7 linked regions of the Oryctolagus cuniculus genome follow. The protein of the gene in region 2 interacts with the protein of the main gene of each other region in a biochemical or structural test. Links are inferred from orthologs where the notes say so. Each region holds a gene or a part of one and is shown on either strand. Other genes may lie near its edges. The genes, in order: SREBF1, GSK3B, YWHAZ, NFE2L2, RICTOR, LRP6 and KLF5.

Region 1 (4,080 bases), on a different chromosome or scaffold from region 2:
GCAGCACGGGGCGGGGGGGCTTCAACCAGGCTCAGGTCCCGTGGGCCTTTGCAGTGACCTTGCTTTAACCGGCCCCTGTTATCTGGAGCTATGCTGAACCCATTTCGGTAATGGCGAGGCGGATCCCCAAGACCATGGCCCCTGGGGATTCCGTACCTGCCTCTGTCGGTACCCGGTGCCCAGTTCAGCCGCCCGACTTGGAAGAAAAGTGTTCTTGGGGGCGTCGCCTGGCACCCCCTAATCCCATCCCTGTCCCCTGGGAAGAAGGGCTTGTTTGAATTTTCAGGGAAAGTCACCGGATGCCAGAGGCCTCCTGGGGGGCGGGGGGGGGGGTGGCGAGCCTGGGAGACCCCAGCCAGCATCTGGAGAGAGCAAGCCCTGGGTGGGGTCCCTGAGCAGGATGCCTGTGCAGGCGCTGTAGTTTAGAGACCCTGGTGTGGGTTATCTGTGTGCAGGTTGAGCCCCAGGTCCCGGGTGTCTGCAGCTGGCTTCTCCCTGCAGGGCACCCCCACCCCCTTGCAGGCTGCATCCTGCACGGGTGTGGACGTGAGCGGACAGACTATATAACTGGAGTCAGCCGGGGGCGGTCTTGGACTTGCCCTGACTGGCGGAGCCTGGGGAGAGGGTGGGGGTGGGGGTGGGCGGAAGGTCCAGACCCCTGCTGAGTCTCCTCGGCTGCCCTCCACCAAGGGGGCCTCTTTCTGAGTGATGTCGATCTCCCGCATTGAGACCCCTGGCCTGGCTCTGGGGTTTGCAGCTTCGGGCGGGTCACTGTTTAGTCTGGGGTCTTGCTTCCTACCCATAGCTCAGTCTGGGAGGAAACCAGAGATAAAGACCGGATGAGACACTATCTTCCCCGCCGCAGGAGCTAGGCAGACTCCACAGGCCGAGCCCGGGCCCCAGGTCCGTCTGCAGATGGGGGAAACCGAGGCAGAGTGACGGCTGTCACTTGGAGCCCCACACAGCCAGACAGAGGGAACTGAGCGGGTCGCGCCCCCGACCCCCGGTTTAGAGACCCCAGCGTTGGAACCCATCCTGGTGGGGTCTTCCACTCGGCCCCCTTGCTCGCTGCGGCTGGCCACAGGCTCTGTGCCCCTGCGGCCGGCGGAGACCCGGCGGGGGCTCCACGGTTCCGCCGGAGGGGCGTGGCGTGGGGGCGGAGCCGGCTACCCAGGGGGGCGGGACCTCCCGCCAGGCCCCGCCCCCGCCGCGCCCGCCCTGCGGAGTCCGAGTCGCTGCCCGGGGAAACCCAGTTTCCGAGGAACTTTGCGCCGGGCCGCCAGCGACTTGGCCGGCGCGGGACTCGAACGCGCGGAGCGGGGGCGGCGGCGGCGGCGGCGGGCCCGGCACCATGGACGAGCCGCCCTTCAGCGAGGCGGCCTTGGAGCAGGCGCTGGCCGAGCCGTGCGAGCTGGACGCGGCGCTGCTGACGGACATCGAAGGTGCGCCGGGGCGGTGGGTGCGGAGGGTGGGGGACTCGCAGGAGGCGCCCCGGCCTTTGTCTCCCCGGCCGGCGTGGGGGACACGCGGGGGCTTCCCGGGGCTGCGGGCCGCCTGGGCGGGGTCGCGCCGGGGGTCCCGGGGCAGCTCGGCGCTGGCGGGGCGGGGAGGACACGTGCGCCTGGACGCGTCCCGGGCCCTGCGCCGCGGGGGCCGGCCCCGTTCCCCAGCCCCGTTGGCGGCCGCGGCTGGAGCTTGGGACCCGGGCGTCGCCGAGGCCCCGCCCCCGCCGTGACGTCCGCGCGGGGTTACTCACGGTCATTTCCCTCCGGCCTGAGAGTTCAGCCGGGCGCAGGCGCCTCTGCGCGTGCGCACGGTGCGGCCTCTTTGCCAGCCGCCGCCGCCGCCGCCGGAGAGGGTCTGGGTTCTGCGCACGCGTCGTAAAGCCACCACCGAAGGCCAGGCCCCCACCATCCAAGCCCACCCCACTCCACCCCACCACCACGTCGTAGACGCGGAGGGTTCGCAGACAGCTCAGACTTGAGGGCCAGCCCCGGGGCCAGCGGGGCGAGGGTAGAGGCCCCGGGCAGTGCCCAGGCGGGGCGCCCTGTCCCTAAGGAGCAGCTCCGGGCTGCAGGTGCTTCCACGTGGCAGGCCCGGCGAACCCCAAGTCCCAGGAAGTTCCCCCATGCACCTGCCGTGGGAAGACGCGAAGGCTAAGGGCAAAGGAGCAACCTGCATGGACGCTGGCACCCTGGTGGCCGCTGCCCTGCGCAGCCTATGGCTGCGACTTACAGGGATCCCCGTGGGCTCGGAGGGTCAGAGTTGAAGCTGGACCCTTTGCCATCCTGCTGGAGCCCCCTCGCCCGCCCACCGAGTCTCAGTCCCCCCTTTCCTCCCCCCGTAAGTGCCCCCTTCACGAGGGAGCTGGGACAGTTGACTCAGATCTGTGCCTGGCCTTCTCCCTGACTCCCGGGGCTTGGGCAGCCACGTGGGGGGCGTCGTTGGGGGGTCAGACGGGGCTTGAGTGCTCATCGGCGACAGCGAGGGAGGCTGGAGCCCTGCAGGACCAGGCGGGGGCGGTGGGCAGTGGCTGAGGTCTGCCCACTATGGGGGAGGGTCTCTCTCTCTGTCTTTACTCACCCTTTCTGTTCTTTTTCCTGGTTATGCAACACATTGGGTTTCTTTTTTTTCCATTGTAGAAAAAGTAGGAAGTGTTGATTAACAAAAGAAAGAAAATGTTTCTTAAATCTACCCACCAGAAATAAGCCCTGAAGCTTAATCCACTTTTTTTTTTTTTTTTAAGATGGATTTATTTCTTTGAAAGGCAAAGAGTTAGAGTGAGTTAGAGTTAGAGTCAGAGAGAGAGTTAGAGTTAGAGAGGTCTTCCATCTGCTGGTTCTGACTACAACAGCCAAGTGGGAAAGTCCATCCAGGTCTCCCACGTGGGTGCAGGGGCCCAAGCACTTGGGCCATCTTCCGCTGCTTTCCCAGGCCACAGCAGGGAGCTGGATCAGAAGTGGAGCAGCCGGGACTCCAACCAAGTGCTTATCTCGGATGCTGGTGCCACAGGTGGTGGCTTAACCTACCCAGTTGTAATACTGACCCTTTCATCCACTTTTTCAAAAACAGGGACCAGAGAGTTGTGGCATAGCCCATAAAGCCACCGCCTACAATACTGGCATCCCATGGGGGTGCCGGTTTGAGTCCTGGCTGCTCCACTTCCAATCCAGGCCCCTGTTAATGCACCTGGGAAAGCAGTAGAAGATGGCCCAAGTCCTTGGGCCCCTGTACCCACATGGGAGACCCAGAAGAAGCTCCTGGCTTCAGGCTGACCCAGCCCCAACTGTTAAAAGGATGAAAGATTCTCTCTCTGTCTCTCTCTCTCTCTTTATAACTCTGCCTTTCCAATGAGAGAAATAAATCTTTAACAAAACACCCACAAGTGTATTAAGGTACCAACTTTACACACTGGGAAATAGATACATTCTAAGCGAGCTATGCAACAGTTTCCAGTAGCGCCCTATGCAAGTTTCCAGTATGTGTACCAAGTAGCGGGCCCATCATCAGCTGCCCACTTGGACTCCTTGTAACTGTATGGTTTCTGCCCTTTCCTCCCCCACCCCCCAGGCTGTCTGCATTTTTTTTTTTTTTGGTGAATTACAGTAGCATCCATCCGGTTCCCAACAATGAGGATCTGCTTTGTTCCATGTCGCAGCCAGCGGCCAGCCGCTTCCCCCGCACTTCCACCTGCTAAAGACACCACAGTGGTTCTGTTCTCCTACCCTGTGCCGCAGTGGGCCCCCTCCCACCCCCGAGGCCAGCCTGTGCTGGGATCCTCACTTTGGTTCCTAAGGTCTGGGCTCTGGGAGGGGAGATTTGCTGGGGAGAGGATTTCTACAGAAGCCTCTATGGGGGCTGCCACCAGACTTGGCCCTGGGCAGGTTGGACACGGTCTGGAAGAGCCAGTGGGAAAGCCAGTTCCCCTGAGAGAAGTGAGGGTGGAGAGGCGCCCCAGGGACGAGCTGGGCTGGCTGGGGAGGGGGCAGCGCAGGGACATGACATGCGTGTTCCCTCGTGGCTGGGAGCTTGGCGGGCACAGTGGTTACAGCCATCACTCGGGACACCTGCTGCCTGGAT
Region 2 (4,145 bases):
TAATTTGTCCTCCAGCCAGCCACAGAACAAGCCGAATCCACCTTCTTTCCGTTCGGATGCCTTCGGCATTTTCCGCTCTCTAGGCGAGGCTTCCCGGGGGCCCATTCTAATTGGCTCTTCAGGCCGATCGGCTTTTTCCGGGAGGAGCCGTAAAGAAACGACGCCCGTGATTGGCTTCGCTGGGGGTTCGGCTCCGCCGCCGAAGAGGGCGGGCGTTGGGCTCGGCCGGCGATTCCCAGACGCCTGTTACGCGGGCGGCGGGGCGCGGGGCGGTATAAGGCTGGGTGGGGGAGGAAGGAGGCGGAGGACGAGTAGGAGGCGGGGAGAGGGAGGGGGAGGGGGGAAGGCGCTAGGCGGCTGCGCAGACGGAGCTCCTCACACAGAGCAGCCCCCGACCCGGGCGAATGCGGGTTTGTGCTGCCGCTGCCGCTGCCGCCGCCGCCGCCCGGGCCGAGTGACAAAGGAAGGAAGGAAGCGAGGAGGAGCCGGCCCCGCAGCCGCTGACAGGGCTCCGGACTGGGGGCACAGCACGGACACTTCCTCAGCGGACACGGAGCTGAGGCGCGGGGCGTGAGGGCGGCCGCGCTGGTGCTTTGGACGGGGGAGGGGGCCCCGAGGGAGACGGAAGCGGTTGCCGGGTTCCCATGTCCCCGGCGTATGGGGAGCAGTCGAGGAGCCGCTGCCTGGGGTCTGAAGGGAGCTGCCTCCGCCACCGCCGCCGCCATGGCCGCTGGATCCAGCCGCCGCCTGCAGCTGCTCCTGGCGCAATGAGGAGAGGAGCCGCCGCCGCCGCCCGCCTCTGACTGACTCGCGACGCCGCCGCCCTCCAGGACGCCGGGCCCCCGCCGGATCCCGCCGCTGCCGGAGCCGCAGCGTTTCCCGTCGCATCTCCGAGCCGCCCCCTCCCTCTCCCTCCCTCCTTCCCATCCCCCCTTCTCTTCAAGCGTGAGACTCGTGATCCTTCCGCCGCTTCCCTTCTTCATTGACTCGGAAAAAAATCCCCGAGGAAAATATAAAATCCAAAGTACTTATTTTCAATCAAGTATTTGTCCCCATTTCACGTGATTTTTTTTAAGGAGTCCCCCCTCCCAGGAAAGGGAGGGGAAAGAATTGTGTTTTTTTTTTCCCCTCCCCCAGCCCCAAATCATCTATATGTTAAATATCCGTACGGATCCGTCTTGAAGGAGAATACATCGCTCGTGTTTTTTTTTTTTTTTTTTTTTTTTTTAATATAGCTATACAAAAGAAGTGAAAAGCCAAGAGGACGAAGTCTTTTTTTTTCCTTTCTTGTGGGAGAACTTAATGCTGCATTTATCATTAACCTAACACCCCAATATAAAACAAAAGGAAGAAAAGGAGGAAGGAAGGAAAAGGTGATTCGGGAAGAGAGTGATCATGTCAGGGCGGCCCAGAACCACCTCCTTTGCGGAGAGCTGCAAGCCAGTGCAGCAGCCTTCAGCTTTTGGCAGCATGAAAGTTAGCAGTGAGTATTGATTTTATTTTACACCCCTTCTCCGTCTCACCCCTAAAATAAGCAACCTCGAAGTCCTAGAACCTTAACATACTAGACCTGATGGAACACTCACCAGAGCTAATGGAAAAGAGCAAGACCTGTCTTCAGTCGAGGATGAGGCAGCTCCCTCTTTTCTCCTCCCATAACCCCCTCCCTCGGTCTCATTAACCTTGAGTTCAGAGAGTACGATTTTTATTTCGATGATTCGATTTGAAACGTTTCTTGTGCTTTCCTTGCTACTGATGGTCGCCTTTATCCAGTGCTTGGGTGTTTCCACTTGGAAATTGTGATGGAAGCGTTTGCTTGCCGACCCTTTTGAATAAAGAGGACTAAACGACTCATAAACCATTATGTGCATTTGCAGAGTGTTTGTCTTTTGGAACGAGGGAGGAAATTCTGGTTAGCTCAAGTCTCGGGTTATCACAGCTTTGTGTACTTCATGGAGACATGAAATGTCCCAGTCTCCTAACGTTTCTCTTCGTGCTGGTGTAACTATACAAAGTATTTGTTCTTAACCTGGGGATGAACTTGCTCAGTAACCAGCATTCATGTGTGGAGGTGATCATCGCTCCCTCCCTTTACAAGGGGCTGATGGGAACAGATAAATATCCAGCAGCAGTAGCATCTCCAAATACATTGTCTTGAATTGGATAAGTGGTTTAATCTGTTATCTCTTAACCTTCCTGTTTTGGCATTACCAATCTGCCACCATATAATTTGTTTAATCAAAAGGTAACTTGGAAGGAGGTCCAAGTTTTGATTGAGGCGTATGTTGTCATAATGCCAGATACTAAGTTAAATGTTAATTGTCACTGACTCATTGTCATTTAAGTTCAATTTTGACGTGCTGTTGCATTTGTTACTTGTTAAAATATTCTAGAGTACAGAGGATTCCTTTTTAGGAATACTTAAAATATCCTTGCATCAGTTTTCTTGTAGATAAGATTGAATTTAGTTAGAGGAACATAGATTTAGTCCTTTCCATCATAGTTTTTGCAGAAGGTTGTCCTTCTGGAAATGGTAGGGCTGTCTGGGATGTGGTCTCAGGGTTGTTACCAGACTGTACTTTCACAAAGTCTGTTTTCTTGAGGTGTTTGTTATACTAAGTATCCAGTGATCCCACAGAGCTCTGTTTGTGAAGGGGTTTGTGTGGCAATTAATGGCAGGTTATTTAAATATACTTCCAGATTTTGACAAAAAAAAATGTTTATATTGTTTCCTTATTCTCTGAGAAAGGGGCATGAAGAGGGCAAACTATTTTGTTGCCTAGAGGAGCTAAGAGAACTGAAGAGCCTTAAACAGTAGATTCTGTTATGTGGACTTGATTACATCCTTAAGCAATATAAAATGTTTACTTTTAATTGAACTCAAGATTCCAATCACTTTGGCTTTTGGAACTTGCCTGAAACAGGATAGTCCAAGGTAATAGCTGAATGGGAGATTATTTTTGAGTTAATTTTTTTTTCAGTGACTAGCTAGTAGAGAATGCAGAGTATGTAAAGAGGGAAGCTGATTATGCATCTTTTTAGAGAAGGGTCATGCTTTCTAAGCCCTTCATGGGGTCATTTGAAAGAAGTTTTTTATTCTGGGGGTAATTTTTAGCTATGATGAAGCAAATATTACAATAGCTAATTAAGAGCCTCTTGTGATACTGCAGTGATTGTATGTTTTACATCTTGGTAATAATTAAAAAACACTGAAAGTCAGTTTTAGGAATATAATTATTAGATGTATTTCAGAGATCTATAATGCTAGTGTATAATGCTAAATTCTGGGATTTTATATTTTGTTTCTAGGATTTTCTTTGAAGATGACTCCTTAATTCTTGATGGCATACATGTTGACCAAGAATGGTGTGATTTTTGTAAAGTATGTAGGTTAAAATGTTTGATTTTCTGTTATCATGTCCTTCAACTTAATATTTAAAAAGTTGGAATTTATTGCTGAATATGCATTTTTGATAAGCCTAGCTTTAGGGATATTTAGAAGAAAGGGGAGTCATTAGGCATTTGTTAGGTGCTGGTGTTTTCAGGACCCATGTTCAAAAGAGATACATATGAAATTATAGTCCTTGGCTTCAAAAAAAGCTGGTCACTTAGTAGTAGAGGCAATTTATGGGAAAAACAATGAAAACAATGGCATTACGACTGCAAGGCAAAATACAAATTGAATCCTTTGTTCAGAGGGACAAAGAATAAAGGGGTGAGACATGCATTGGAGGGAGAAGGCTTCCTGTAGAGAAGGTGTGCTTTTAAGACAGGTGTTAAAGAAGGCTGTGTCTTGAATTGGTGGAGAAGCATGAAAGATTCTAGGTGAAAGGACTCCAGGCACAGAGATGGTGAGTTTTGTAGGAGAGGCAATAAATAAGCTGGTAAATCTGAATTATAAAAGCCTAAGTAGGAAAATAACAGGTAAAATTTGAGAAATATTGGAAGGATAGCTGACAGAGGGCAAGGGGTCTGAAAAAGTTTGACATTCATGAGAGCTCTGAACAGTTTTTTTTTTTTATAAACTTTATTTATTTTAATTTTATTGGAAAGGCAGAGAGACAGATCTTCTCATCTGCTGCTTCACTCCACAAATGGTCACAACAGCCAGGGCTGGACCAGGCCTAAGGCAGGAGCTGGAACTC
Region 3 (4,246 bases), on a different chromosome or scaffold from region 2:
GGGCGGGAGCCCAGTAGCTGCTAAATAAAGGTATTGGGCCAAGGGGCTGTGCACCCAAGGAGGGCACCGCAAGAGTCCCTGACAACCACCAGCCTTCCACGGCTGCTGCGTGGTTTTGCAGGTCACCCGAGCACTGGGCAGTCCTCAGCACTAACACGCGTGCACGGTGCAGGGTGCTGGGCGGGCATCTTCCGCTGTGACTGCAGCTCTCCGCACTTCCTTCCGCCGGCTGGGTGGAGCCGGGCCGCGAGACACCTGCAATTTCCGCTCCTCTGCCCCCTCTCCCTGCCGCCGGGCTGGGTCAGCCGGGGCCCTGGGCACTAGGACTTTGCTCAGATCTAGCCTTCGGAGACAAAATGGCTATGACCTTTATGTTCTATAGCCAAGTCTGATTTGGTAGGGGGGAAAAAAAACCCAAACTACCCAACGGGAAAGGCAGCCGTTTCGTGTGCTGGCGTCCACCTAAGCAGCCGGCCTCTCCCGCTCGGGAGCGAGGCTTTCTGAGAGTGACCGCGTCTCCGCCAGGCCGTGCCTGTCGCCCCCGCCTCGGCGCCCACCCATTGTCCTCTCGCCGCTGTCACCGGGCGAGGATCCCAAGCTCCCGATTGGAAAAGCTGCCCGTCACTCAGCCACACTTAGGGGCTGGTCGCTCCGTCCTCTTTTCCGAACCTTAAAAGGTCTAAGGCCTCTTCCCCCGCGCCGACAGGTAAAGCGGCGGCCGTGGCCGCGGCAGGCAGGCGCCGCGCACCCAGGTCCGCCCCGCCCTGGGCAGCCGCGGGCGCACGGCCGGGCGGGGTCCTGCGGGGAGCGCGCCGCACGCGGCCCCGCCCTCGCCCTGCCCCTTCCCCCAAAAGCCGCTCACAATGCCCGGCCGCCCCAGCCGGCCCCGTAATCCAGCCCTCGGACCGCCCTACGGCAGTCACCACCGCGAAGCACGGACCCCGGACCCCGGGGCGGGCCAGGCCTCAGGGCGGGGGCGGGGGGGGTGGGGGCGCGAGCGAAAGGTCCCGGATGTTGCTGAAGCGGAGCCCCTTCTGAAGAGGGAGTGATTGGCGCAGGCGCAGGCCAGGTCGAACGCTGAAGTGGGGGTGGGGACACATTTTCTTCCCGTAGGATTAGCGGAAGGGAGAGCCGGAGGATAGGGGCGGGGGGGGGGGGCGCGGCGTCCGAGAGGAAGACGAGGAAGCGGGGTGGCGGTGGGGAGGGAAGTACAGCAGCTTCCTGCCCAGGCGCACTCGGGGAACGAGTAGACAAGGTGGAAGCCGAGCGCCGGTCGCGGGGCGAGGACGCGCGCTCCTTCGCTCGCCCTCTAGCGCGGGCGGGTAGGGCGCGCGCCGGGGAGCGGCGGTTGCGCTAAGGCCCCCGGAGCTGTGGGCACCAATCAACGGTTGCCATAGCAGCGTTTGACGTCATCGTGCGTGTGGTGCCCCTGCTGCCGGGGCTGGTGATTGGAGGAAACCCCGTGTCTGCGGAGCGGCTGTAGCCTGTGAGCAGCGAGATTCAGGGACAGAGTCTCAGCCTCTCCGCCGCCGCCCAGAGCCCGGTGAGCCTCCGTCCGTCTGTCGGCTCCTACTCCGGACACAGGTAAGGGACCCGGCCGCAGCCGCCTCGCCCCCGGCCGGCCCTCGGAAGGCTTGGGAGCCGACCTCGCCTCCGCGGCCCCATCGGCCCGGCCGTCGGGCGGTAGCGGCGCGGAGCTGAGGCGGAGTCTCCTCAGGCAGACACGGGCGGCGGCTTCTCTTCCGCAGGACTCGGGCGGGCGGCTTGCGGCCGCCTCCGGCTACATGTTTCCGGGCCAGTGCCTCGGCCCCGATCGGCGCCCGCTCCCCTCTCTGGATCCCCCGGGTGTGTGGGGGGGGATGGGAAAGGCGCCCCCGACACGAGATCCCCGGGGATCCCCCGGCCGCCGGCTCCCCACGGCTGCCGAGGCGCGGCCGAGGCGCCCCGGCCGCGTTCCGTCCCCACCCTGGCCCGTGCGTCCCCGCTTCCGCCCGGGAGAATGACTTGGCGGCCGCGGCGGGCATTGCAGTGGCGCAGGTGAGGCCGCCCCCTCCCCGATCCGGTTCCCCGGCTCGCCCCCTCCCCCGCTCCCGGGCGCAGCCTCCGCGCCCCGCGGTGCGATCGCCCTCCCCCACCCGGGGCGCGGCGCGGCCGGGAGGGGCCGGGGCCGCGGGGACCGGGCCGCCGCGCTCGGCGCTGCCCCACGTCGGGCAGGGCGAGGCCGCCGAGGGCCAGCCGGCGTGGGGAGGGGCCGGCCCGGGACCGGCGGCGGCGGCGGCGGGAGGAAGGACTTGAATTTTCCCGGTTGGGATGGGGGAGGGGACTGGTTCTTTTCTACTTGTGGTGGGGCGGGGGTGGCGCGGGGGAGCTCCGGGCCCAGGTCGGGTAGGGGAGGTGGGGGAGACGGCGCTCGGCTGCTCTCGCTCTCCGGCCCCCCCCCCCCCCCCCCCGGGCTGGAACCAGGGGCCCTGATCCTGCTTTGCGGGCCCCGAGCGTAACAGCCGGTGGTGGCCTCGCCGGGCTGGGTGTGGCTCTCCGCCCCCTCCCCCACCTGCTGCAGCTGTCGGGTCCTTGGACTCTGGATGGGCATCGGTGGCGGGGAAGACGCGGGGTGGGAGAGCGGGGTGTGTCCGCGGCCGAGCTGGTAGTGGTTCCGCTTCTGCGGGCGGTGCTGGCGTCTCGGTCCCCGGGTCGGGCGCCCCCCTCCACTTGGGCGGGGGCGCGGGCTGCTCCGCCCTCCTGCTCTGGGCGGGGGGTTAACACTCGGCGGTAGGTTGGGCTCCTTGACACAGATCCGCCATGACAAAGAGGGAGAGTCGGCGACTTGTGCGAAGGCACCGGCTTGGGCGGGGCCTAGGAGGAGGGGTGGTTGCGGATTGCGCGCACGGAGGCTTTGCACTTTAAAGTCACGGTCTGCGGGTTTGCGTTGCACCCTCCCCGACGCCTGACGCCGCGGAAGGGTTAAATGGGTGCGGCGAGTCATCTCCATATAGAGGCGAGGCCTTGGAGCACTAGTTACTCCGAGAAACCTAATCCACTTCCCCTTGTCCCGGAGGGGTTGTAGAGGAAAACCTTTGTATTGGTTTTAAGCCATTTTTCTTTAGAAGCAATATTAAGCAGAAAATGTTTGGCGATTTTATGGGAAGGGTTATTTTTGAAGAACCGAGAAGAAATGTTCGATGATAAATGTTAACTATTTTGCACATTGAGATGGCCCTCCTCGCATACGCTCTGGCCAGTTTCCTTTTGAGTTTTTAAGCAGTATGGTGGGGTTTCCCTGGGAAGATAAAGAATGAGATATTGGGAAGTCAGTTCCCCTGGGAGATGACAGTGGCCCTTCCGTCCCCCGTTTTAATCTAATAGTACATTTCATTTCAGGCTCTGTGTGTGCTTTTAAATCCTTTGTTCTGTGGTATCACAGTACGGTGTAGTACCTTTCTCTGCTGTTGAGCACCGTCTGAAAGGCTATCTTATAAGATAAATGCAGTGGAGGTAACCTGAAAAGTACGGGGAACCTTAAATGAGGGAAGGAGAGCTAGGGGAAAGGGCAGCTTGAGTGATAACATCTCATTAAATTGTGAGTACTAGAAGCGGTGCAGTAATTCTATTTTGAAACTGGAACGGGGACATTGGAAACGCAGATGCTTCCAATGTGATGAATTTTACTGCTCTCGGATGGAATTGAAATGAAAGGGACCCTTGGGCCACTTTGTGAAGCATGTATGCACATAAGAAGGTATAAAGGAGGCCTTAGGGTCAGTTAGAGAGTGATCCTTGGTGATGGCTTTATATTCAGAATATTTTAAGAATGAGCAATTTGTGTGTTCCAGAAATTGTCATGCTGTGATCAGCTGGCAAATGTTGCTATATTGGGTGGGAGTGACACCAACTAAATTTAATCATCCCTGATCAGAGTAAGTATTAGGAAAGAAAAAAGACATGGACTGTGGTTCTGGAGATAGGGATGACGGTAGTGGCACTGTTCTTTGTTTGCCTTGTTTTCATGAAGGAGGAGAAGCTGTTCTAATTTTGGGTCTCATGATAGAGATTTTTGGTCAAGTGAGATAAGGGGTAATTTTAAAAGGCAGCCTTTTGACCAAATGTGCAAAACTGGTGTTCCTTGCTGTGAATTTCCCTCTCCATTGTTGTTGTGAGTTTTTTTTTCCCTGTCGTGACCATCCTTTTGTGAGGCTGCATTTGAATTCCTCCAGTGAACAGTCTTTCACAGACACTAGGTTTGAAGTGT
Region 4 (4,153 bases), on a different chromosome or scaffold from region 2:
GAACTTGGCACTGAAGTAAATTTGATGTGCTTTCCAATTCTAAACTGCCACACAGTGTATCTGCTAAGCTAAAAATTTTCTTTTTTAACTTCATCTGTAAGACAGAATAAAACTGTACCTATCTCAGGGCTTGGGAAGGAATAAAAGAAATGACGGATTTAGCACATCTCTGATACTTTGCAAGTACCCATTAGACATTAGCAACATCTTATTTCACTCTCAAGAGTTTATGCACTCAAAGCCACATCTCAGCAAACAGCTCCTCCCAGTAAATTTCATCAGATTAAGATTTCCCCAGAAGTCACATCTCAAGATCTGTCAGAAATATCCTTCATCCAGAGATCCTTGTCTTTTAGCTGCTGGTTACACGGAGTTCAACACCACACCCTCCATCACTAACTAGTGTTTATGGCTCATTGCTTCTTACCCACTCACTCATTGGTTTCCTCCCTCGAAGTCAAAGACCATGCCCATAAGCAAGTAGAAGTCTACTCCACAGAAGCCAAAAGGTACCTTTTTCCAGGACACCAACGCCCCCCCCCCCCCAACACACACTCAGGCTTTCACGAATTAGAAGGGGACCCTGTGATCATCTTCTAGTGCTAACCTGAAACCTCCTGGGAGAAGCCTAACAGAATCCCTGTTACCCATTCCAAAACCACAGCCCCTAAGTATTCGTTCAAGAAAAGGAATGAATTCCTGGCATTAAGAACCCAAGGGAAGGGACTCCTTTAAAACTCTTCCCCTGTAAGAATTCTTCGGGTCTGTCACCCTCACACAGTGGCCACAGTCCACCATCCTGTCCCGGTAGAGTCCAGGCTCCCGTCCAGTCTCCTGACAGAGAGGTGGGTCCGTACTTTGCGCGACTGGGATGCTTTCTGCCCACTCATGTCACCTTCTGTACCCCTCTTCCCTGTCCCTCCCCGCCCCCCGCCCCCCACGCAGCACAGGCCCAGCCTGCTCCCTCGCCACCAGCTCCTTCCCTCGGCCGTACTCACCGCTTCTTGGGGATGATGCCCGACTCTTGCACGGCGGGAGTGGCCGTGGGCGCCGCCGTGGCCGCCGCCGCGGCTCTCCGCGCTCTGCACTCATTGGTACTCAGAGCGTCCTGGGGCCGGCCCAGCAGATGGCCCGAGAGAACCCGCAGCCGCCGCCCTGCGCGATCTGGGTCCCGATCCCGGTCAGCTCCAGAGCCCGAGCTCGCGCCCGCGCCGGTCCCGCCCGCTGCAGCCGCCGCCTCCGCCATGGCTTCCGCCTTGTGCTGCCGCCCGGGTCCGCTGGGCGCGGGTGAAAGGTCACTCAGAGCGGCGCCCGGCGCGACCATTCGCTGCGGCGCATCCCGGCAGCCACCGCGGCGACTGGGCGGCGGGTGCCATGCGCCTGGAGCTTCACATTTTCTGCCTCCGCCCACCGCGCCCGCCCGCCCGCCTTGGTCACGCCTCGGCCGGGAGCACCTGCCGAGCAGGTGAGTTTGAGCCGACCCCTTATTGGCCCAACTGGGCTGAGCTGGTCCAAGAGCCAAACCACAAGCGCCCCCGCAGTAGTCCTGGAATCCTGGGAGGTGCCTTCGGGTGTGGCCTGGGCCTCTCGAGGAGCTTTTTAGGGGTAAGCGCTTCGGAGCAGGAGTAGGCGGTGTTACCGGACCTGACTAGAAGACCAGCACCTTCCTTTGCCCAGAGAAATGCTAGTGCTGCGCCTCTGCTCTCCCCCGCGGTGGGGGGTGGGGGTGGGAGTGAAGGTCACTAAAGTAGCTCAAAACTGTCATTACCTCTGACCATCAAAGCAAACGGCCCTTCATTTTCTCATTTCTCATCACCTGTTTCGAATATGGCACTGTGCTTAATGATAGAACTCAAACCAGTAATCTCCATCTTACAGATGAACAGAGACTCACAGACATATCCAGCTCGTCTGAGAACTTGCTAAGTTAATTGCTAAAACTGAGTTGCAGTTTTTCTTTTTCCATTCGTTTCTGGATTCTGACGCGAATAGAGGCCAGGTGGTTCGTTTTTGTTTTTATTGCTACATATAAAATTACTGAACGGCTGGCTGCTCTTGAGACTTCTCAGTTATTTACAAGTTAGCTTAATTTCTTGATAAAATTATTTTCACTTGGTGAAATTAAGGGGGCATCTCCTAAGACTGCCCCACAGCCCTTTCCAGCCAGTGCCTTACTTAAGAATTAGCCTACACAAAACCTGGCGATGCCACTGGCCATTGTGTTGTCTCCACGGGATCAGCACCTTCACGTTATGCTTTCTTAACAAAAGGAAAACTATTGGCAGAGGGCTCCGAAGAACACCAAAACCCCATGACCTATTGTCAGCTGACACCTAGGCTCTTGCCAACATCCACAGTTGAGTTTATACCTTCACCGTGAGCTTCCAAAGAGGCCCACATCTGATAAATCTGTTGGTTAAGCCTAGGCAAGTTATTAGGTGAGAGCCAACTCTTTGTTTTTAAGATATATTGTTTATTTGAAAGGCAGAGTTATAGTGAGGCAGGGAGAAAGGTCCCCTATCCGGCAGGTTCACTCCCCAAATGTCCACAGCAGCCAGAGCTGGGCCAATCTGAAGTCAGGAGCCTGGAGCTTCCTCCGGGTCTTCCATGTGGGTGCAGGGACTAAGGACTTGAGCCATCTTCTGCTGCTTTCCCAGGCATATTAGCAGGGAGCTGTGTCTGAAGTGCAGCAGCTGGGACTCCCACCAGCACCCATTTATGGGATGCTGGCCCAGCAGACCACGGCTTATACCCACTATGCCATAGCGCCGGCCCCAGGCATCTGTTTTTATACAGCCCTCAAGCTAATGTTTTTGAGAGTTGAAAAGTATTGTTTCATTTAAAAAGGAAGAAATAAACAGAACATGCAATATGTGGTCCAAAAAGTCCTAAAATATACATTATCAGAACTTTGCAGATTTCATGGCTCTGAGATTCATATACAAAGAGATACCAAGCCACAATGACAACAACACAAATGTCTAGCCTCAGGGGCCAGCACTGTGGCGTAGCAGGTGAAGCCTCCACTTCCAGTGCCAGCATCACATATGGGTGCCAGTTTATGTCGCGGCTGCTCCTCTTCCAATCCAACCCTCTGCTATGGCCTGGGAAAGCAGTAGAAGATGGCCCAAGTCCTTGGGCCCCTACACCCACATGAGAGACCCAGATGAAGCTCCTGGCTCCCTGGCTTCAGATCAGCCCAACTCTGGCAGTTGTGGCCATTTGGAGAGTGAACCAACAGTGGAAGACCTTTCTCTTTGTCTCACCCTCTTACTGTCTATAACTCTACCTCTCAAATTAATAAAATCTTTTTTAAAAAATGTCTTGCAACAGAGAAGTGGTTAAAAGAATTTTTTTCATATGATAAAGTATTTTTTGCAGCTATTAAAATAATTTAATGGGGCTGGTGCTGTGGCATAGCAGGTAAAGCCTCAACCTGCAATATCGGCATCTCATATGGGCACCAGTTCGAGTCCCAGCTGCTCCACTTCTAGTCCAGCTCCGTGCTAATGTGCCTGGGGAGGCAGCAGCAGATGGCCCAAGTACTTGAGCTCCCACACAACCTAGGGGGACCCAGAAGAAGCTCCTGGCTCCTGGCTTCAGTGAGGCCTAGCCTTGGCCATTGCAGCCATTTGGGGAGTGAACCAGCAGATGAAAAAATCAATCAATCTCTCTCTCTCTCTCTCTCTCTCTCTGCCTTTTCCTCTCTCTCTGTAACTCTGCCTTTCAAATAAGTAAAATCTTTAAATTAAAAGATAATTTAGCACAAAACTAAGAAATACTATGAATTTGTTAAATGCTAAATAGCCATAATCTAGACTGTTGTGACTCTTTGCAGCAACACACTGATACAGATTTTTCAAGGAGTATAAGAAATTTTTCTAAAACAACTGTTTGTTATGTTAAGTACCATATACTGGGGCCAGCTTTTTAGCGTAATGGCTTAAGCTGCTGCCTGCTGTGCTGAAATCTCATCTGGGTGCTGGTTCCAGTCCCAGCTACTCTACTTCTGAACCAGCTCCCTGCTAATGTGCCTGGGAAAGCAATGCAAGATGACAGAAGTCCTTGGACCCCTGCATCCACGTGGGAGACTCAGATAAAGCTCCTGGCTCCTGGCTTCAGCCTGGTTCAGCCCTGGCCATTGCAGCCATTT
Region 5 (4,286 bases), on a different chromosome or scaffold from region 2:
TGGTGGGTAGCATGTAAGAAAGCCGTGCTCCTACTTTACTTTTCTTACAATGCACCTTTACAAGTGACATATATATATATATGAATGAAATACACATGCACTATAGGACATTTAAAACATCCAGAGCATACGTAATTCCACAACTGAGGGAGGAAAACCAACCAGCATTCCGATGTCTATCTTTTCAGACTTCTATCTGTGGACACATCCATTTTGTGATGCATCCTTTTAATGTGTGTGTATTTCAGAAGTTTCCAAACCAGGAAATTTGTAACCTCTTGCTTGACTCAATAATGTGAACCATTGTTTCTTATTAACCTACTAGATTCGTATCGTTTTTTGAAACGGCTGCTGCACTTCACACACCTCTCAAGTTTGGTCATTGAAGTGGTCCCACTTGTTCACTATTATTAGCAACAGCAAAAAAAAAAAAAAAAAAAAAAACCAAAAAACTCCAACATTTCTTTTTAGGGTAGAGGTTGTATTTCCTGGCAGCTGAGAAAGAGAAGGGGTTAAGGGTATAGAGCCCCACGTTCAGTCTCTAGGGAGTTAGAAGACGAGTCGAGGACCAAGAGCGAGAGAGCTCATCCTCTTTAGAGTCCATCTGGTCCCAGAGGAAGTTGCTGCATCAGGGGTCAGATGTGTCTATTAGGGTATCAAAGAACACTCGCCCGAATTAAAACTCCTGTCCTTCCCAACTGCTCGATTTGTGTACAGAAATACGCCTTCACAACCGCCCCATCTGCCACCGTTCCGGGAGTTGCAGACACAAGCCGGGACTCCGCTCTCGGCCCCCGCAGAGAGGAAACCGCGTCCCGGGGCCTGCGCGGGGCGCGCGGGGCGCACTCCGCTCCCGGGCCGGGGCCCTCCCGCCACCTCGGCCAGGTGGGCTCCAACTCCACTACCCCGCCGCCCCGACTCTGCCCACCCCCCAGAGCTGAGCGTGGCACGGCTAGGAACAGAACTCAGCGACGCGTTAACTTGGTCAGGGAAAAGCGAGTCTCTTCTCGCAGCGCGGGATTTACGGGAGTCTACACTGCGCGGGGCGCCGCTCCGCACGCTCGTCTGAGCGCGGCCGCGGATTCCAGGGCTAAGCCGGCGGCAGCACGCGCTCCGAGCAGGTGGCCGCTCGGCCGCAGCCGCCCTCCTCTGCCCCTGCGCCCCTCGCTCGGCTCGGACGCCTGGTGTCCGCGGCGGCCGGAGGAGAAGCATCCTCCACGCCGCCAACTCCATCAATGGGACTCCCCGCGTGGGAAACGTCCCCTCCCGGAGGACTTGCCCTCCGACGGCCCAGCCGCTCGCTCGCCTCGCCTCCCTGGGCCGGGGCGGGCGGACGCCACGAGCTCCTCCTCCCGGACCCCGGGTGGACGCGGCGCTCCCTCCGCGGCCGGAGCGCAGCCGGCACCACCCGCCGCCGAGGGGGCGGGGGCGATGCCGCGGGGGGCGGGCGCGGCGCGCGGGGAGGGGAAGGGGTTCTCGCGCGATTGGGCGAGGTTTCCGGTGTTGTGACTGAAACCCGTCAATATGGCGGCGATCGGCCGCGGCCGCTCTCTGAAGAACCTCCGAATACGAGGTAAGCGCGCTGCAGCCCTCACTCCTCACCTCTCGGCGCCCGCCACCCCTGGCACTTGCCTTCCCCTGGCCCTGGGTCGGGGGAGCGGAGCGGGGGCGCTGGCCGGAGCCTGGGCAGCCGCCGCTGGCCTGCGAGCGAATCCTAATTGGGGCTGTGTGTCTGTTTCGCGCAGGGCGGAATGACAGCGGCGAGGAGAACGTCCCGCTGGATCTGACCCGAGGTAACGCGGGGCGCCGAGAGCGCCGGCGAGGGCGCGCTGCTGGGGAGGAGCTGGGGCCGGGGCGGGCCTCGCACGGGACCCGCGACGGGGACGGGGGGCGCAGCCCGAGCCCCGCCTGCCGGCCCGCGGGAGCCCCGCCAGGCCGCCTCGCTGAACCCATCCCCCTTCCCGGTGCCCGCTTCACTCTGCCTGAACCCTTCTCTGGGGGCCTCGGGCTGCCGCGGGGGGGGGGGGCGGCTGGGGAGCCGCGAGCGGAACTGGCGGAGCCGGCGACCCCTGGGCTCGGTGGCCCCCGGGGGCAGCGGCTTCCACCCGTGCCGAAGCTCGTGCCGCCGGCTCCCGGGGCCGGCCGGAGGGAGGTGGAGGTTGTTATTTGGGTTGCAGGAGGATGTTTGAGGGAAGAGCGACCACATCCTGCCCTCCCCGTCTCCCGGCGCAGAAGCCGGACCTGCTGGCTTTTTTGCTCACTGCGTGCCTGCCTTTTTTTTTTTTTTTTTCTCTTTGCCCCGCGTCCTGTGGGGACCGCCAGCATCGGTAGCTCGGTGCTGAGCCCTGGAGCCGGTCAGGACTGCTGCGTGGCTGGTTTCCGCCGTGTTTTCCTTCTGTTTCTGTTTCCCGGGCCGCTGGGACCGTGCTTCGCCGAAGACCGCCCCCTCGCCCTGCTGCAGGTTCATTGTTTACCTCCTGCAGTGGCGACGGGTTTGTTTACACCTTGGGAACTGAGTGACCCTGGCTTCTCTTTTGAAGGACCGGCTCCGGCTCCACTCCGTATTCTCCATAGCAGGGACGGGACCGTAGTGGGGTTTTATTCCACCTTGTCTTGCCGAAGATTGCGTGATTGGGTACTTGCGACGAGGTTCTTTTCTGCTGCACGATAAACAGGATTTGGTCTGCTGGTTCGCGCCAAGTCCCGTTGCGTACCAGCTGTAGCTTGTGGTGTAACGTGGTTCAGCTGCATAGCATCAGTTGCTTGTTGAGCTCTGTAAAGCGCTGTAGGAAGTTGAAGTCGTCGTAAACAGTCGATACGCGGTCGATGTGCTACTTAACCCTATGTTCTTGACGTAACAATCGCTCTCCACGTATTTATGGTGGACGTGGGCTTGGTGTTGAGGATCATCGCTGAATTAAAGCGTAGTATGATTTGTTCTGTATGTCCTGATGGGAGGTAGCCTTTGTAAACTGGAAGGCCGGTTTTCATGGAGCTACGAGAGTGTATTTTTGTAACCGTGTTTTATTCTGCAACTTCAAGGACGGAGTTTTCGTGAACTTTGGTAGGCAAGAGAGTTTCAAAAATACAATATAGTAGGGCTTGAGTACTAAAAATGGCACTGATTACGATCACCAGTGCACTGCTTTGGAGCAGTTTTTCAGCAGCTTAGAGGTTAGAAAGTAGTGAAGAAACATGTCGTCAGCCTTTCGGCTTTTGTGCAGTAGTTTGAAAACTCTATATGACAGACATAGGGAAAAAATTTGTATGAAATGTTTGCTGTTTTCAAGGAAACCTGTGAACAAAAATAAGGGTCATTCTTAACAGGCCTGAAATTTAGCATTTTGAGTTAAATAACAGATGTAGTTTATTAGAGATTTGTGTACACACACACACACACAAGCATGTGTGTTTTTAGAGGGAGGTGAAAAGTACATACTAGGTAAACTTGAGGTCAATTTGTGCATTAAAAACCTACTTGGGCATGCTAGAAATAAATTTTAGTTGTACCTTAAATTTTGTTGAATTTATTGAATTTGTTGAGCTATATTTGTATTTCATTGTTTTTCTGATATCAAAAATTTTGGTTGTATAAAAGCTCAGATATAAATTTGGATACCTTGGGTTTACTCTAGTTTTACTCAGGTACACATGTAGCTCTGTATGTTTATTATTTAAAATGCTATATTCTCTAATAATTTATTTTATAAATAACTGTTCATAAGCATTTCCAGGATTATATAAAAATAATACAGAGACTACTGTTTGTTTGCCCTGACAAAATGTATTTCAGTTTGGAATACATGTACACAGCCAGTTGAAACCAATTTCACAAGTGATTTACAACTATGAGTGAGAGGTTACATGAGAACTCTATTCCTGAATCATAAGGAAGTTTATAATAAAGAAAATCTGAGTTAGATTCATTTTATAGCAACACTGTTTAAAGAAACTATTATTCTGACAGACGTTTCATTGTTCAAAAAAGGCTTGTGGATCTAACTTGAAGAAAGTTCATGAGGAATTAAACTTTAGTAATGATTTGAGAACTGTGAGGCAGTCTGGGTTACAGCTGAAGGGCAGCTGTTTGTGGATTGAATTACAGTATGTAAAAAAGATAAAGTTCAGGCAACCAAATAACTTTTTGATTAATGTCAAGGCGCCGTTTTCTCTTACTCTAATTATTTTCATGTAATCTTTGAGAGGTTTATTGTATAGATATCTAACAAAGTTCTTTATAAAATAGAAGTTAAAATCATTGTAACCCCTAAGGGAGCCATTAGTGT
Region 6 (4,344 bases), on a different chromosome or scaffold from region 2:
GACGGGGATGTGTCTGTTTCTGCTCACCCACGAGCTTACAGACCTGCCTGGCCTCGACCCCAGCATGTGTTTCCTGGGCGGGCAGTGTCTGAAGTCACTGACCCGGGTTGGGTTCAGGTCCCTGCCTGAGCGGCCTTGGGTAAGTCACCGGACCTCTCAGCTTACTTTCCTTCTGGGTGCAATGAAGACACTAAGCGTCAACACCTGCGCATCCCAGGATGTTTCGAGCCTCAAACCTGATCGTGCACGTGCCGGCACTAGGTGAACTCCAGTGTCTCTGGGGTGTGAGCAAGATCCCGGGAGTGACTGCATTTCCTGGCCCGGCTGCCTTCTGGGAAGGGTGGGTGACAGCTGCACAGAAGGCACCTGACTGTCGGGGTGTTGGGGGGATTTCAAGGGGTGTCTACGCCCCTGCTCCCCAACGGCTCTGTGCACTGGGAGAAGCCAGAGGCTGTGCAAAAGCCGAAGCGCTGGGGGATCTCTTCCTTCTGAGCCTCGACCATCAAAGCGTGCCAATCACACATTATTAAATGCAAACTCAGCTTTGTCCAACTGTCCCTTTTGCAGGCTTAGGTGCCCATGCACTCGTCTTGGAAATTTTACTCCTCCAGTTTACACATTTTTACGTCTTGCCGGCCTTCACTCGGGGAGCAGGTGTCTCTGGGAAGGCAGGAGGAAAACAAGAATTGCACTTCGGCCTTGGCATGTGAACCTACCTCAGCAGATCCACGTTTAAAGCTGGTGTGACCAGCGTTGGTTTTTATTTTCCTTAAAAAAAAAAAAAAGGTGTTCAAACTGATTTCCAACCCCGAAGACCGAGTGCATTACCCCGTGAGGGACTCCGCCGTGGCTCCTGGAGCGTGGACCCGCTCGCCGGCCCCCCGCACCTCGCAGGCCCCGCTGGCGGCCGCCGCACCCCGGGAGCTCCACCTGGCTCGTCCGGCGTCCGCCGCACAAAGACCGGGGCCGGGGGCGGCCCGGCCGAGCCGCAGAAAGTAGTCCCGACCACGCCGGCTCCAATGTTGTTCGACGTCGCCTCACGCCCTCCGCGGGGAGGGCCGAGGCGGCCAGCCCGGGAAAGAATCCCATCGGAATGCGCGGCCCGGCAGCCTTTCCTGGAGCCGCTCGCCTCTGCTCGCCCCACGCATCTCCCGGGGTCTCGCCGCGGAGGCCGAACGCGCGGTTTTCCTCTTCTTTGCCCAAGTGCGCGGGAAGCGGCGCCGCGGGAGGGGGGCTCGGCCGCGCGCAGGGAGACCTCCACGGCGACCCTTGGCGACGGCGGGCGGCCGTATCCCTGCGCCGCTGCGCGAGAGGAAGAGGCTGAATGAGGAGCTGCGCGGGGGAAGTGGGGCGCCGGGGGAGGAGGCGGCGGGATGGGAGCAGACGCTGGCGTCGCGCGAGCCCGGGGCAGAGCGGCGCGGTAGAGAGGGCGGCGGCGGCGGCGGCGCGCGCGGAGCCTTGACGTGCCTCTTTCTTTCTTCTTCTGTCTCGGGGAAGCCGGGGAGCATGATCGCGCAGCTCTGCCGCTGCGGCGGCCGCCCCGGCTCCTCGCCTCCCCCTCATCTGGTCGCCTCTCGCCGGTGAGAGGAGAGAACGCGAGCCGGGAAGATGGGGGCCGTGCTGAGGAGCCTCCTGGCCTGCAGTTTCTGCGTGCTCCTGAGAGGTGGGCAGAGCGCGCGCGGCGCGGGGCTGGGGGGGGGGGCGCCCTGGAAAGTTGGTGGGATTTGGGGGTGGGGGGAGGTGGCCTTGTTTTGTGTGTCTGGGGGGGAGGGGAGCGAGGGAGGAGGAGAGGGGAAGAGGAGCGCCGAGAGGCCTGGTCGTGGGGAAGGAGCGAGAGAAAGGGGCCCGGGCGCAGGGGCTGTGCGCTCCGCCCGGCCACGATCCAGACCCCAGCCCGGCCTTGCAGACCTCGGCGTGGACAAAGCTGCGCGTCCCTCCGGGCTGCCTGTCTCGGGGAAGCGCTGGCCGCCGGCTCTGGCGGAATGACTGAGTGTGCGCCTCCGGCCGCCGGGCGTCCTCAGGGGAAAGGGGCTTTGCTCCGAGTTCGGCTTAAAAAAACAAACAAAAACCAAAAACGTGGGGAGTCCGAGATGCGCCCTGGAAACCCCCACCTTCCCCCGATCTCTCAGGTGAACTTTCTAAGCCCTCTTGGCGATTTTTCCAGGCCTTGGTTGCTACTGATCATTTGGCTTCCGCTTGGGCTGGGACGATCCCGGGCGAGGGCACAGTTGGAAAAGTGACTCCGGGGTTATAGGGCAAGCGTGGCAGCGTAGGGATCACCCGAGCGGCGGCCCGTGCTCCGAGACCGACGTGGCTCTGGGAAGCCCTGGTATTTGCGGAGTTGGCAGCAGCGAGTGGGAAAGTTGTGCTTGCATGCGGAGGCCCCAGTCCTGGGACCTGGATGGTCATTTGCTGCGCACCCCCACCCCACCCCGGGGGTGGGGGTGGGGGTGGGGGATTACTTGGTACTTGGGTAAATAACACAGACTGGGTAATTTACTCCGGGAGTCGCTTCCATTCCGGGGTCCCGGGATGTGTTGCATTGCCCTGCAGTGCTGACACGCTGGCTGTGACTTCTCGTGTGTGAACTGGGTTTGGGCTGGTCCGCAAGTTTTGCACAGCTCTTCTCAAAACTTGTGGAGAGGAGTCCCGGGCTCTTCAGCAGCTCCCAGCGGAGGAATTTAAAGTCCAAAGTGTGGTAGTTGTGGTTTTGTTAAAATTCTGGCTCGTGGTCCTGGTCAGGTCTTCGCAGGTGTGAGGTCTCTGGAGGTTTTCTAGCTACTGATGTAACAGACAAGTTGTGTGAAGCCCTCCCAAACTTACCAGGTACAGCACATGACAGTAATCAACGATCTTGTGTTAGAAATGTGACAGATGCGTCGTTTCTGTGCGCATGTGTGGATGTATTTTTGGGTGACAGGAACTGACCTTTTTGATGTAGAAGGGATATTTTCTTTACTCTTCTGCACCACTATTAGGATTGCGTGTTACATTTATCCTTAACGATTAACACTTAATCCAGACGGTCCATTTCCACAGGTAAACCCCAGAGAATGTAATGCAATTTTATGTTATGTACTTGGGCGTTATAATCAGTATAGTATCTGTACTTTACTGTTACAGTCACTGTTGAAAGTTTCACAGCTGTAACTGTGAGAAACAATCGTATGTGTCATAGGGCTGTGCATATATATATATATTATTTGATAGATAGAGTTAGACAGTGAGAGAGAAAAAGTCTTCCTTCCTTGGTTCACCCCCCTCAAAAGGCCGCTACGCAGATCCGAAGCCAGGAGCCAGGCGCTTCCTCCTGGTCTCCCACGGGGTTCAGGGGCCTAAGCACTTGGGCCGTCCACCACTGCCTTTTCGGGCCACAGCAGAGAGCTGGACTAGAAGCGGAGCAGCCGGGACTAGAACCCAGCACCCATATGGGATGCTGGCGTCGCAGGTGGAGGATTAACCAAGTGAGCCTTGGCACCGGCCCCTGTGCACATATATTTTAAGACAGAAGGCTAATAGAATTAACCAAAGAATGCCAGATGGTTACAGGAGTCTTGGGGAAGTCTAAACCCATAACCTGGGGGTTCTTCTGGTTGCCCAGTTGTATTTCTTGGAGGGGAAGAGTGTGATGTAAATGCTACTAATTTATTTTAACACCAGGTTTGAGCCCAGAGTTGGATGTGTTCATTGGAGTTGAGAGAGGTTGCATTTGGAGAAATGTTTTGAAGTATTATATTGTGTAGCAAGACCTAGAAGAGGTGATAGTTTAAGAAGTGGAGCTCATTTTATGTTGTAGCATCATAATGGTATGAGGTGGTCTTTTCTGTTTACCAGCATTTAGCAGTGTGTGCTTGTTACTTGAACTAAAATTATGTTTGATGTGAAGTGGTCATAATTTAGATTGTCTTCCTTCCTTGATAATGTCATCTACAGATACAAAAATGATATTTAGTCAGCCTTGGACTCCAAGGAGAAAAGTGTGACTAGTTTGTTTCATCAAGGTCATTTTTCCTCACAGAAGAGTTGGAGCTTTACCATTGGGTATGTGATGGATTGTGTAAGAAAGAGCTTGGGAGACTTTTTGTTCTTGTAGCCCTGTTTTGTAAGTAGCTGAAATCCAGGGAATATTATTTCCCAGGCTGTGTCCTGTTCCTACCATTGGATGATGAGGTGATGAGGTGTAGTGGAAACATTTGGGGATATTTTTCAATACCAAAATCTTAGGTTAAAAGCCCAAACTTTACTACTTCATAGCAAACTTCTCTGAGCCCCAGATTCTTTACCTGTAAAATGTGGCTGATGATAGCTACCTGATGAATTTACAGGGTTTTCAGATATATTAAA
Region 7 (4,348 bases), on a different chromosome or scaffold from region 2:
GAGCCCTGCCATCTAGTTGTGTGTTTCTTTGAGAATTTCCTGTTCCATGTTAAAAATTGGGGGGGGGGGGGGCTTATGTTATTCTAGGAGAAAAGATAGCTGTGAAAAGACTGAGGGCAGCTTGTTACTAGCTGGATCATGTTCTTAAAAAAAATCACCCCTTGAAAACTATGTGGTTATTTGAGTTTGTCACTCTCCTGCCTAGGAGATACCTAGAGGATAAGGCATGACTGAGCTTTTTGCAGAGAGAGGGGGAATGTAGCGCCGGCCCACTGGGGAGGACATGATAAATGTTTGGCTGATGACTGTGCTAGCCCATCAGCAGCCTCTCCCCACCTACCCGGCTACCAAGGGAGTGATTTCCCCCTAGGTAATTAAAGATCTGTTTGAGATAGGGATATGAATAGGAACATTTCATTATCATATTAACCAATTACCGAATCTACTGATTAAAATCAACATTTAGATCAAATGCTAAATGTGAAACTGTTTTGTTTCAGTGGATACTGTGTTTTGCCAAAACATTGTATTTAGGTTTCCATTAAATCGTAAACAAGAAGAGGCACTGAACTAGCTGAAGAATGTTTTAGATGAGGTATTTCAGAAATACCTTGCCAAGCAAAAAAAAAAAAAAAAAACTGCAAACAAGATTTGTAGAGTTGTGCGAGTGTAAGAATGTTAAGCTTAACTAGAATTGAGGTAGTTTGGCAATATTTCATTACTGCCCTCGTACTTGAATTGCACACTTGACTGTGTAATGGGGCAGGGAATCCTGTTTGTCCTACTATTGCATCACAGAGGAATATGATTTCTGTTTGCTTCCTTTTTTTTCTTGATTTGCCTTTTTTTTTTCACTTTTTTTGTCTGGGACTGATAAAGGGGAGCGATTTTTATCAAATGCATGTTAGAGTTTCATAAGGTTTTGGTGAACCAGTTATTACACAATTGACAAAATAAACCTGGTCCATTTATAAGCAACACTTAGGAGTTTGTCCTAGTACTTTATGTCGGGATTGGAGGGTGTAAGAGGTTTTTTAAAAAGAGCACGTTTGAATCAGGTGGATTATGCGTGTTTGTGTCTCTTCTTTTTTAGACAAGATGTGAAATGGAAAAGTATCTGACACCTCAGCTGCCTCCAGTTCCAATAATTCCAGAACATAAAAAGTATAGACGAGACAGTGCCTCGGTGGTAGACCAGTTCTTCACTGACAGTGAAGGGCTGCCTTACAGTATCAACATGAACGTCTTCCTCCCTGACATCACTCACCTGAGAACTGGCCTCTACAAGTCCCAGAGACCGTGCGTAACACACATCAAGACAGAGCCTGTTACCATTTTCAGCCACCAGAGTGAAACAACCGCCCCTCCTCCGGCCCCGACCCAGGCCCTCCCCGAGTTCACCAGTATTTTCAGCTCCCACCAGGCCGCAGCTCCAGAGGTGAACAATATCTTCATCAAACAAGAACTTCCTACACCAGATCTTCATCTTTCTGTCCCTCCCCAGCAGGGCCACCTGTACCAGCTGCTGAACACACCGGATCTAGATATGCCCAGTTCTACAAACCAGACAGCAGTGATGGACACTCTCAATGTTTCTATGTCAGCCGCCATGGCAGGCCTGAACACACACACCTCTGCCGTTCCACAGACTGCAATGAAACAGTTCCAGGGCATGCCCCCTTGCACATACACAATGCCAAGTCAGTTTCTGCCACAACAGGCCACTTACTTTCCCCCATCACCACCGAGCTCAGAGCCTGGAAGTCCTGATAGACAAGCAGAGATGCTCCAGAATTTAACCCCACCGCCATCCTATGCTGCTACCATTGCTTCCAAGCTGGCAATTCACAATCCAAATTTACCTGCCACCCTGCCAGTCAATTCGCAAAACATCCAACCCGTCAGATACAATAGAAGGAGTAACCCCGACCTGGAGAAACGCCGCATCCACTACTGCGATTACCCTGGTATGTCATCTACACTGGGGTGGAGCGACAATCAATAGTGTTTGTGTGTCTGTACAGGTGTGCAGTTGTGTCTCTTCCAAACTCAGACCTTACATTTATATAGGAACCTTGACAGTAACACCTACGTTGTTCATTTCATACCCTGTTTTTGTGCTTTACTGTGGTATGAAACAAGTTAGTAGTCTATTGCTTATTTTTATATATTTAAAAAATGTCTAGAATACTCTGGAGAAAAGTTATCTTGAACTTTTTTCTCTTCAGCAGTACATTTGAGTTTCACACACATTACAGAGTTTACATTTACTTTAAGATAATCTAATGAATTGCAGTTTTTTATTATAGATTAAGTGCCTGGAAAAATATTGGGGGGGGTGAAATATTGTGTAGAAATGAAACGGGCGCTGTGGACAGCTAGCTGATAACAGCTACGAGACGGTCCAGGGTAGATTTATGGTAGCTTCTGATAGCATATGCTCATTCTTGAATGAGGGATGCAGCTGAAAATATAAATTGATGACAGTAATGAGTATATTTACAAGTTGCTGGCGTAAGCTAGTTTATGTTTAATACAGGGCATAATTTATTGACTATGGTACATGATATGGCATGACGTGCTAAATGAAAAAACAAGAAATGTCGGAGTACAGAAAATTGTAGTCATCTTAGATAATGGCTTAGCATTGTAGTTCTAGAGCCATTGAAATTTTTTAAAAAACATACTATAGTAGCTGTTAGTTGCTGAACTGTGTGTTGCTAGTATAACCTACCTACTGGAATATAAACACAAACGTTCTATTTGTAGTTTGGCCCGATTTTGTGTGTTCTTTCCTACTAAGGCGATAGATGAAACCGATCACTTTATGCCTTTAATAAGATAATGGGGGAGCACGCAAAGACTTTTAAAACTGAAACTTCAAATATCTCATCTAGCACTAGAGATTTCTTCTTTAAAGTCAGATTTTAAAGACTGAATCATCAGATGTAAAGGTTTCAAAAGGCTCTGCGAAATGACAAGCTGTTCTTCTCCTTCATTTTAGGCTGCACAAAAGTTTATACAAAGTCTTCTCATTTAAAAGCTCACCTGAGGACTCACACTGGTATGTAATTTTCTTGTTAATACTGGGAGTTGTGTAAATAGTGTAAGTGGTATTCATCCTTTTAAAAGCCAACACGTGTTTGATCTCTTCTTTCTTCTGTCAACTTTTATTTTTTAATGGCCTACCTTTTCAGTACTGGCTTGGCTCAAAATTCAGTTCCATGAAAAAGTCTGGTTCCAGGAAGGCTGATGTTCCCTCACTAACGCCTTGCCTGTCACCTCACATAGGATTAATTACTGAAAAATCTAAACAACGATGTTTACTAATGGACTTTAAAACTTTTAATGGCACTGCTGGTTCAGTCTTGAGGGGGGGAAAATGAAATTAATTTTCTTCCTTTGTAGCAAATCATTTTGCTTCCACAGAGCCACTGTGAACACCAAAAACCTTTCCACCTGGCATGTGCGCTATGGCTGCTGAGCGGTGTCTGTTATCTCTGATTTCACGTTTAGTGTGAAATACCTGTTTCACGTATTTTCTGTACTTGCTGAAAGGTAGGGCTGAAATTGCCGAGTATTAAAGTCAAGTGGTTAGAAATGGGGTAATATTTTAAAAATTATTCTACAAATTGGATTCTACAAATTGGGTATATTTATTTGAGAGATTTCATCTTTGTTTAAAATGTACTTTTAACTATAGCCCCTTTCATTTTAAAAGTGTCTGCTTGTTTTGTTAAATCCACGATAGTCACTTTTCAGAGACTTAATTTTAAAATGCATTTTAAGGTGAAACTAGGTGGCATACTTCATGAAACGCGTCCAAATACCCAAAATATTTTTTAATATATAGATGGTTACTCCTTGTAATTTTCTTAAAAGAACAGCCCTAAAGCAAAGAACTTATATAAAGTGACTGTTTTCCCTTCAATAAATGCAGCCTTACCTAAAGTTCAAAGAATAAGTTTGCTAATAAAAGCAATGACCTAGCAAAATGTATTATTCCATCATTGCTATGGAAACCAAAGTATTCAACAGTTCCTTTGAATGGGTTGTTGGATTAGTGTGAGGACTTGAATCTCCCCAGGCTAGATGTTACTATGGAAATTGAGTTTTGATAAATGAAGTAGTTATCTCTAACTGCTACATTAAAAAGTAAAAGCCTTTGAACAAAGGTCAGTGCTGAGATAGAGTCCTGAGAGGAACATGGTTGCAGACATTTTGTGTGCATGTTAGAATTGCTTGATATCCCAGTGATAAACACTACTTATTAAAATCAGAGTAATATCGGCGACAATGGTGGTAGGTTACAAGACTTTTTGAGAAACCGCTTTTAAAGAAAAGCCAT

Evidence for each region.
Region 1: the proteins of GSK3B (region 2) and SREBF1 form a complex in vitro, tested with the Homo sapiens proteins (2 studies listed by BioGRID, with this or other methods). The link is inferred for Oryctolagus cuniculus from reciprocal best matches to the Homo sapiens genes GSK3B and SREBF1.
Region 3: the proteins of GSK3B (region 2) and YWHAZ form a complex in vitro, tested with the Homo sapiens proteins (2 studies listed by BioGRID). The link is inferred for Oryctolagus cuniculus from reciprocal best matches to the Homo sapiens genes GSK3B and YWHAZ.
Region 4: of the proteins of GSK3B (region 2) and NFE2L2, one has a biochemical effect on the other in vitro, tested with the Homo sapiens proteins (2 studies listed by BioGRID). The link is inferred for Oryctolagus cuniculus from reciprocal best matches to the Homo sapiens genes GSK3B and NFE2L2.
Region 5: of the proteins of GSK3B (region 2) and RICTOR, one has a biochemical effect on the other in vitro, tested with the Homo sapiens proteins (2 studies listed by BioGRID). The link is inferred for Oryctolagus cuniculus from reciprocal best matches to the Homo sapiens genes GSK3B and RICTOR.
Region 6: of the proteins of GSK3B (region 2) and LRP6, one has a biochemical effect on the other in vitro, tested with the Homo sapiens proteins (2 studies listed by BioGRID, with this or other methods). The link is inferred for Oryctolagus cuniculus from reciprocal best matches to the Homo sapiens genes GSK3B and LRP6.
Region 7: of the proteins of GSK3B (region 2) and KLF5, one has a biochemical effect on the other in vitro, tested with the Homo sapiens proteins (2 studies listed by BioGRID). The link is inferred for Oryctolagus cuniculus from reciprocal best matches to the Homo sapiens genes GSK3B and KLF5.

What each region holds. Positions count from the first base shown.
Region 1 is NC_091448.1:62,549,864-62,553,943, reverse strand, and holds the start of SREBF1 (sterol regulatory element-binding protein 1), read left to right. Parts: upstream 1-1,233; 5' UTR 1,234-1,351; coding exon 1,352-1,459; intron 1,460-4,080.
Region 2 is NC_091435.1:76,548,020-76,552,164, reverse strand, and holds the start of GSK3B (glycogen synthase kinase-3 beta), read left to right. Parts: upstream 1-1,344; 5' UTR 1,345-1,395; coding exon 1,396-1,483; intron 1,484-4,145. Other genes in the region: transcription factor SOX-4, read right to left, coding at 1-983. UniProt on the Homo sapiens protein: Constitutively active protein kinase that acts as a negative regulator in the hormonal control of glucose homeostasis, Wnt signaling and regulation of transcription factors and microtubules, by phosphorylating and inactivating glycogen synthase (GYS1 or GYS2), EIF2B, CTNNB1/beta-catenin, APC, AXIN1, DPYSL2/CRMP2, JUN, NFATC1/NFATC, MAPT/TAU and MACF1.
Region 3 is NC_091437.1:126,360,563-126,364,808, reverse strand, and holds the start of YWHAZ (14-3-3 protein zeta/delta), read left to right. Parts: upstream 1-1,443; 5' UTR 1,444-1,584; intron 1,585-2,258; exon of another isoform or gene 2,259-2,304; intron 2,305-4,246.
Region 4 is NC_091434.1:63,717,711-63,721,863, forward strand, and holds the start of NFE2L2 (nuclear factor erythroid 2-related factor 2), read left to right. Parts: upstream 1-1,324; 5' UTR 1,325-1,374; coding exon 1,375-1,465; intron 1,466-4,153. Other genes in the region: AGPS (alkyldihydroxyacetonephosphate synthase, peroxisomal), read right to left, coding at 999-1,324.
Region 5 is NC_091445.1:64,475,279-64,479,564, reverse strand, and holds the start of RICTOR (rapamycin-insensitive companion of mTOR), read left to right. Parts: upstream 1-1,465; 5' UTR 1,466-1,524; coding exon 1,525-1,573; intron 1,574-1,745; coding exon 1,746-1,793; intron 1,794-2,927; exon of another isoform or gene 2,928-3,064; intron 3,065-4,286. UniProt on the Homo sapiens protein: Component of the mechanistic target of rapamycin complex 2 (mTORC2), which transduces signals from growth factors to pathways involved in proliferation, cytoskeletal organization, lipogenesis and anabolic output.
Region 6 is NC_091440.1:109,922,229-109,926,572, reverse strand, and holds the start of LRP6 (low-density lipoprotein receptor-related protein 6), read left to right. Parts: upstream 1-1,523; 5' UTR 1,524-1,608; coding exon 1,609-1,663; intron 1,664-4,344. UniProt on the Homo sapiens protein: Component of the Wnt-Fzd-LRP5-LRP6 complex that triggers beta-catenin signaling through inducing aggregation of receptor-ligand complexes into ribosome-sized signalosomes.
Region 7 is NC_091440.1:39,678,625-39,682,972, reverse strand, and holds the start of KLF5 (Krueppel-like factor 5), read left to right. Parts: upstream 1-1,546; coding exon 1,547-1,967; intron 1,968-3,004; coding exon 3,005-3,064; intron 3,065-4,348. UniProt on the Homo sapiens protein: Transcription factor that binds to GC box promoter elements. Activates the transcription of these genes.